Linked DNA regions of Coturnix japonica. The protein of the gene in region 2 purifies or fractionates together with the protein of the main gene of each other region. This does not show direct contact. Links are inferred from orthologs where the notes say so. Each region holds a gene or a part of one and is shown on either strand. Other genes may lie near its edges. The genes, in order: ELMO1 and DOCK1.

Region 1 (3,814 bases), on a different chromosome or scaffold from region 2:
TATTTCACAAGAACGTGTGAGAAATGTCTGCAGATTGCCAGAACTTGAACAAGTTCGGGACTAGTCCTGCACCAAAATCTGTTTGATGCAAGGAGACACCCTCACTGCTGCCATGGTAGGGGACCTGGTATGACACGAGCGACTGCCTTGCACTTAAGAAAAGGATTTAAAGTCACACTGATATCTGTCTTTACTTTTTAATTTATTATTTTTTAAACACTTCCACCCCCATTTCTGTAATGCAAAAAACCAAGAGGTTTCAAGTTTTTAATGAGGCTTCTCTTGTTACCTTGCTTCCTCTGCCACTGTTAAGGACTAAATCATCTAGAAAAATACCCAGGTTATTTAAAAATGAGGAAAGAGAACTTTATATGTTAAAAAAGAGATGTTGTGCAGTGAAATGATACTGTGAATGTTTGAAGAGCTTCTCCCCCCGCCCCTTCAAACTGTCTGCATTTTCTCAGGGACACGTTTCTATGAGAAGTGAGGTGGCAACTTTTGTCATGTAATTTTTGTTCTCCTATGTTACTACAGTACTTGTTTTAGAGAAGACAGCTCATCAGCTGCTAAGAGCCATGCAGGTGTCTTGGAGACAAAGTTGGTTTTGCTATAGTAATAGGTTTTATGAATTCTTGATGCCCCTGTCATAGTTTTTGGTTCAGTGGACACAAATGATATTCTGGTAACAGCATCTTAACTTCCACATATACGAATCAAGTAACAGCTTTATTGTCTCCAAAAATTGAAGTGAATTTTCAGCTTCTATCTTGAATGCAGAAAAAAAAAAAGAATGCCCTAGCTCATAATTAGTCTGTCCATCTTTTTGCCGGGTATAGCTGCACAGTAACAAAGCTAGTCTGTGCTGTGTAACATGAGTTGTTTCACGTTCCTGGCACTCCCCCTGCAGTTCAGTTGGGCATTTCCATAGAGAATTGATGTGTCTGTATCATTCATTCTTCAGCTGTTATGTGAAGTTGAAACCAGCTTTGCCGGAAAAATAGGCTTAAAAACTATAAGCTGGGATTCTCTTGGTATTGGTCCCTTCTTTCTTCCTCGTTATTCCTCTATTTTGATGTGCTGGCGACTGTGCAGAATGATAATGCATTTTAAGAATGTTCTTAAGCAAGTGTCAACAATTATTTGCTGTGCTGTATTATGTAGGTCTGTGATACACTAACAGATCATTGATTAGACACATGAGGGTAAGGTTTGTTATTAGCTGTTTTACTCATGTAACGAGCAGCATCTAAATAGCAGAGTGCAATACGTTGCCCAAATTATCCAAATTCATTAGATGCATTGATATATGCAACATGTATGCTGGCATGTGTTCACACCCATGTATTCATGGAAAGCATGAAAGTTAAAGACAGGATATGTGCTTGTTAGGCATGATTGAGGAGACCAAGCTCTCATGCTTGATCAGTATAAAATACTCTCTCCTATGCATTTTAGGGTAGCTTGCAGCATGGACAGCCAAGGCCAGATGCCTGAGAGAGAAAGTCAAAACATATCCTGGTTGATAGAAACTTGACTGTTACTTCTAGAAAGAGAAACTAACTGAAGGCAAAACAGTGGACCAGTGCCAACACTGCTACTAACATACAGGGGAGAAGTATTAGTTACCGTGAAAAAACAGTGTTGAGCTGTAATCTAAAAATTAGAGAATGTGGCTTTGAAACAGCCAAAATATTAATATAAATGTGTGTGTTGTTTGATGTCTGGTTTTAAAGGCCTGACTGACAGATTGAAAGGTGCTCATGCTGTGTTGTTGAGGAGTGGGAGTTGTGAGGGAGTTGTGCTTGAACAGGTGTGTGAAGAAGCACTGTTTAACCCACAGAAGTCTCCTCTGAGATCTTATGTTGCTGTTACTGGATCACCAAAGTCTTCAGCTTAATAAACCTTTAACTTTCTTTGTCCCTTTTTCATAGCAAAGTAATCTTGAGTTTGTGGCACCAAAAATAACTCTTACAGTTGTAATTGATAAGCTGCTTCATTTTTCTTACAAGAAACACTGCAGAAACTTAAGACTAAAGCCTTATCAATTGGTATGTTGCTATAGGAATAGCACTAAAATACCTGTTTCTATTTTTCTTTTTTCTAAATCAGGAAATGGCAAACATTTTGGCACAAAAGCAGCTCCGCTCCATTATCCTAACTGTAAGTATGTAATTTTCAGCGTTACTTTTCACTAGCAGAGAGAAAAGCTGGATTGAGCTTTGATGTGCTTATGTTTTATCTTCATTGCTCTTTGCATTTTGATATATTTGGAAGCCTTTAATGTACAAGACAAAGATCTCATTATTGAATGGGTTCAAAACTAGTGATTAGAAAGGGTGTTTTTCAAGCCCAATAAATTCTTATTTCTTCATGACAGTACAATGCAGAATGAAAAAAACAGTATTTCAGGCAATTTCTTCCCATTGAGAATGTGAACTTGGCTGTGAAGTTTAGGGAATGTCTAAAGCATTTATAGTAAGTCCTTTGTGTTAGGTTTTAGACCTGATGAAAACCATGCAAGCCGCATAGGGCTTTACAGTTGCAAAATCAGCTTCTGTGTTTTTAGGTTCTAAAGGTGACTTTGTATCTTGGTATCAAGTTGCACACGATTTGTTGCCACTTGGATAAAGGAAGCGGGATATATAGCCCAGAGTGAAGTTACTGAATGGTCTATAAAGACTTACTTCAACTACCTTTGGAAGTCGTAGGGATTTTGACATCAACCTTAGCATAGATCAGTTCTGCAAAGGAATAATGTATAGTTCTTAAAAAGAGTGAGTTCAGTATCTGTTGTGAGTTAGTGGGCAGTATAAAGCAACACCAAACAGCAACAAACAAACATTTTCCCTTTTTCACTCTCTGTCGTTATTTTAGTGATACATGCAAAAGAAACAGCAACAACAAACTCACACACAAAAAACAGGAAATCTGTTTCCTAAGGCAGCATGTTTTTGCATTGCTTGTGATCATAAGAAATTTGGTAGAAGCATGTGGATAATATTCTTAAGTGTTTGTTTACTGTCATAAGATGCTACTTCAGTAGCCTTTGGCAGATAGTTTTTCTTTCTCTGAAGCTTCAGTGAAATATAGTTTCAACTGTTGTACTCATCTCCTTTTGACTTTCCTTATGTCTTCCCTGCTGTGTTTAGTAACCTGGGCCTGTTTCGCCTGTAGCTATTTGGTTTTAGGCACAACAGGGATTTTTAAACTATCCACTAGTTGGTAACTGCTTTGTGAATGGGGTAGTTCTGTATTGTATATGTAAGGTACTGTACACTAACACATTTCTAAGCCATATCCCTCATGTAGATCACAGTTGTGAAATGAAAATACCGGAGTCCAGCTAATGTGATTTTCTGATACAGTGGCATTCACTGCAGTCTTTCTTTCTTTTACAGCATGTTATCAGGGCACAGAGGGCCATCAATAATGAAATGGCGCATCAACTTTACGTTCTCCAAGTACTTACTTTTAACCTTCTGGAAGACAGAATGATGACAAAAATGGATCCACAGGATCAGGTAAGTGTCTGACATGATCTTATTAGAACAGGAAGAAGTCAGCTACTCACTGCTGTGCCTGAAGTTCTTTAGGGAAGAAAAGACACTGCCAGGAATGCCTGCACAATCTCTCTCTCTCTTTCAAGATGTGATGTTCGGTTTTGTTTTCTGTATGTCAAAAGATGAACTGGCTATTGTATTCCATGTACAGAAGTACAGCAAAATGGCCAGGCCTTTCTCTTTTTTATGTTGTTTCATGAACTGAATTTTTTTTCATCCTGAATTAAAGCTCTGAAGCAAAACTTTTCATTTTT
Region 2 (3,914 bases):
CACGTTTTTAAAAGCTCTTATAAAAACTCCACGAACCTTTCAGATCACAGACGACACGCATGAAAGGTCTGGGGTAGTTTACCATCCCTATAACATCGCATTGCTCGTTAACTCATCCCACTGCAAACCCTAAAGGTTTTTCACCTGCAGCTGTGAAGCAGAGAAATGATTAGCAATAAAGACAAACAGCTGAAGCTCACAACTGTCACAACACCTTTTCATTAGGCTGGAATAGAGGCTGGTACCTCCCTTATCTCAGGATATTTCAAATGAGGGCCAAAAGCCAAGGTGCTACAGCTAAAAATAAATGCCCCCAGTCACCACACCAGCAACCCACAAATACTGGATATTTTTTGGCACTACAACATCCTGACCTGAAAATCTGGCTAAGTCCATCCTATTTCAAAGCATCCCAAATTAGGCAGGTTATCATTTGCCCGTCGTAACAAACCAAACTGACCAGTAACAAGGAAAAAAGTCCCAAATGAGGCAGCTTGCAGCAAAATTGGTTTCCTTCCTGGGTTGGTTTGTTGTTGTTACAGTTGTTTGTTTTCAAAAAGCACGTGTGGAAACACAAATCTTACTCAGGACATTGCTTACCTGGGCTTATCAGGTGCTGGTTGAGGACTGAGAACTGCAGACACCACCTCAAGCACCTGCACTACCCTGTCTACATGGGGAAAACCAGAGAGCAACCAGGTGAGCCACAGAAGTGCATCCACACTACATGGACAGTCAGAGATTGGCAAATTACTCAAGCAATGCTGGTATCTTTGATATACTTAACATTACCATTGGCCTACTACCTGACATTGCACTTCCAGGCATCAGGTGCCATCCTGAAGTAATGCATTCAATACAGCTCTACAGCTCCAACTGGGATAGGCAGCAGATACACACAGCTCCTGGACTTCCTGATGGTCCTGCTGAGAAAGCCATGCACCCACACAGCTACCTCCATTCCCAAGCATGCCACATCCCAACAATGAGATGAGAGCCAAAAACACAGAGCTACAATGGTGAAAGAAAAAGATGAGCGGCATCAGGAGTGCAGAAAATCTGCAATTCAGCTGTTCATTTTCCTCTTTCAGGCTCCCTGTGTGTTCATCTCATACATCCCTCATGCTATTCCATCCCCACCCATTCCTCATCCCGCCTCCCCACGCTCACAGCCCCACCAGGAAGCAGAGCTGAGTCACGCTCACGGCTGCCCTCAGAGATAAGTCTTATGTGCTGCTCCCTGCGTGAATCCTGGGCACGAAGGAGCTGCTGGAACCCAGCACTGTGGGATGGGATGGGGGAGCTGAGCAGAAAGAGCATCTCCTCAAGCAGCTGCATCCAATGTCTCCATAATTTACTCCCCATGCATCGCCACCAGCAGCCTTTAGGACTTGAGAAGTTAAGAGTTGTGCACAGGAACATGCTAATCTAATGGGGGAAAAAAGCTATATATGCATTACATATAAACATTTGGCTTTTACAGACACATACACTTCTGCTCTCCCCCAAGGTAAGCAGCATAACCCACAACCAACAACACCCTCCTGCTGATTGCTGCTTCTCTTCAGTGCAATGCCCACACTCCATCAGCTCAGCCCTGCAGAGATGGATGGCAGCTCCATTAGCAGCCCTGCTTGGAGGACGCAGGCATTGCTGGTTTGCTGTCATACACCACTGTTCTGCTGTCATTCTCCAGCACTGGTTGTGGCAAACAGTTGAGAAGACAACATTCCTTTATTAGGATGTTCACCTTAACAGTGTTTTCTCCATTGCACGACTTCTGAATTGCAGGAGGAGCCTCTGCTGAGCACCCTGAGCCCATTCAAGAGTTACTGCTCCAGCACACTCCCAACACAAAACTGTGCTCTATGAAGCCACAGAACAAATCAAAGACTTTAGTTTTTAATTATACCTACATTCACTCTCTACAAATGCACCTTCCCACACTGGATACCCAAAGCTTTTATCTCACCACACTCAGCTGCCTCCATAACGCCTTGTTCTCACACAGCAAAGCATCTCTAGGATATTATTGCCCTAAAAAGCACCTCCAGCGTGAGGCATCACCCTGCAACACACGCTGCATGCCCTGCAGTGCACTCAGCTTTGCAACACCAGCTCACAATGTGGGTATGCACAACTGATCTCAGCATCAGTGCAACACTGCACTGGAGTGCAAACACTCCATCTCTTATTTCCCAACGGAACACTCGGGTTTGTTATTCCCTCCTGCCGCTTTTCTCCTCCTCAATCCCTACAAAACACTTTCAATCCCAACGAAACACCCTCCGGGCCTCAGCCCGAGAACAATCCTCCTCTGTGCAGGGGACGGAAACAGCCGAGGGCGACATGGATCCTCAGCAGCAGCGGGGAAACCTCAGCACATCGAGGGGCACGGGGAGAGGCCGGTAAGAGAAACCCGTCTAAGCCAGAGAGAGTGGTGCTCGTGGCGGAGTGAGGGGAGAGGAAAAAGCACACAAAGCTGGAACTTTTTGCTCCAGGACGACTCGAGTACGGGCTGAGCCGCGCTCCCGCACTAACTCCTCAACTCCACCGGCCGGCAGCTGCGGGAAGGGCGGCCGAGGGCCGGGATAGAAGCGCTGGGGAGCAGCCCTATGGAGCAGCCCTATGGAGCAGCCCCGGGGCTCCGCTCTCGCCCCGCAGATCCCACCTGGAAGCTGCGGCCCCGCCGGGCCCAGCGCAGCCCCCGGCCCGGAGCAGAGCGTGGGGGGGATCCCCGCTTAGTTCGCGGAGCGCCGCAGCGCAACAGGCGGGCACGGAGCCCGAGGGGAGGCGGGGAGGGTCCTCACCTACGCCGTATTTCTCCTCCCTTTTGGTGGGAACCCAGCGGGTCATGGCGCTGGGGCGGCCGGAGCGGGCGGGGATGCGAGAACCCCGCTCCTACGCCGCCATTTTCCAACCGCGGGACGGGAAAAGTTTCTACCGACGGCAGTCATGTGGTGCGGGCGGAGCCAGCGGCACGGCCCGGCCGGGGGGAGCCGGCACTGGGCAGCCCCTGCACGGCGGAGCCGGCCCCGCCTTCGTGGCCGAGAACCGGGGGGGTGCAGAGCGCTGATCCCATCCCGGACGGGACCCAGCGGCTCCGCTATGGAGAGCCGGGCAGCTCCAGAGCTGAGGGTATCCCGGCCTCACTGTGCAGGAAAGCATCGGTCCCACTCAGAACCGGCTCTGTATAAAGCAGCGTGTTCCTCTTTATCACACCGGACCGCTTCCCAACTCTTCCAAACAACGTCGAAGTGTTGGTTACTTTGGTTTCTGCCGTGTTCCCCGCCTGGTCAGCGCCCAGAGATGCTGCACTAACTCCTGGTATCACAGGGCATGTAGGGTCACTGTATACAACAGCACTCGTTATCACCAGGCTTGGAGCCAAATACTTGATCCCCAACATCTGAATGAGGCTACACCTCATTCTACAAACCTTCCCTTTTCCCATCTTTGGGATCCATTGCCCAGGTCACTGCCTGCAAGTTCAAACTAACCTGAATTTCATTGCTCTTGTCCTACTGAACTCAAGGGCTGCTGTGATAAATCCAACCTTTGCACTTTCCCACATTATGTCCTGGAGTGAAGAGATCAAAAGATTCTCCAAGTCAGCTGCCTGGCTTATCATCTTTATCCTGCATTAATGAGTAAATGATGAGAGTCTTACCAAAGACAACTTACAACAGAGCTCTTTGATTTAACAGGTTTATTTTTCATAAGATAAATCAAAGTGAATTAACTGGGATAATGGGCATACTCGTCCTGTTGCTGTAGTCGTCTTTATAACTTCTTTGTAAGGCAAGCAAAAGGGGAGTGAAATGGAAAATCAGTGCAGAAATAGTAGTTATTTCTAGTGACAAGTCCTGCATGGCCACAAACTGCACCAGGGGAAGTTCAGATTGGATAGCAGG

Evidence for each region.
Region 1: the proteins of DOCK1 (region 2) and ELMO1 purify together in Homo sapiens (affinity purification with western blotting; 12 studies listed by BioGRID and IntAct, counting the BioPlex papers as one, with this or other methods). This does not show direct contact. The link is inferred for Coturnix japonica from reciprocal best matches to the Homo sapiens genes DOCK1 and ELMO1.

Annotation. Positions count from the first base shown.
Region 1 is NC_029517.1:42,476,019-42,479,832, forward strand, and holds part of ELMO1 (engulfment and cell motility protein 1), read left to right. Parts: intron 1-2,109; coding exon 2,110-2,160; intron 2,161-3,398; coding exon 3,399-3,521; intron 3,522-3,814. UniProt on the Homo sapiens protein: Involved in cytoskeletal rearrangements required for phagocytosis of apoptotic cells and cell motility. Acts in association with DOCK1 and CRK. Was initially proposed to be required in complex with DOCK1 to activate Rac Rho small GTPases.
Region 2 is NC_029521.1:29,236,900-29,240,813, reverse strand, and holds the start of DOCK1 (dedicator of cytokinesis protein 1), read right to left. Parts: upstream 2,973-3,914; 5' UTR 2,857-2,972; coding exon 2,811-2,856; intron 1-2,810. UniProt on the Homo sapiens protein: Involved in cytoskeletal rearrangements required for phagocytosis of apoptotic cells and cell motility. Along with DOCK1, mediates CRK/CRKL regulation of epithelial and endothelial cell spreading and migration on type IV collagen.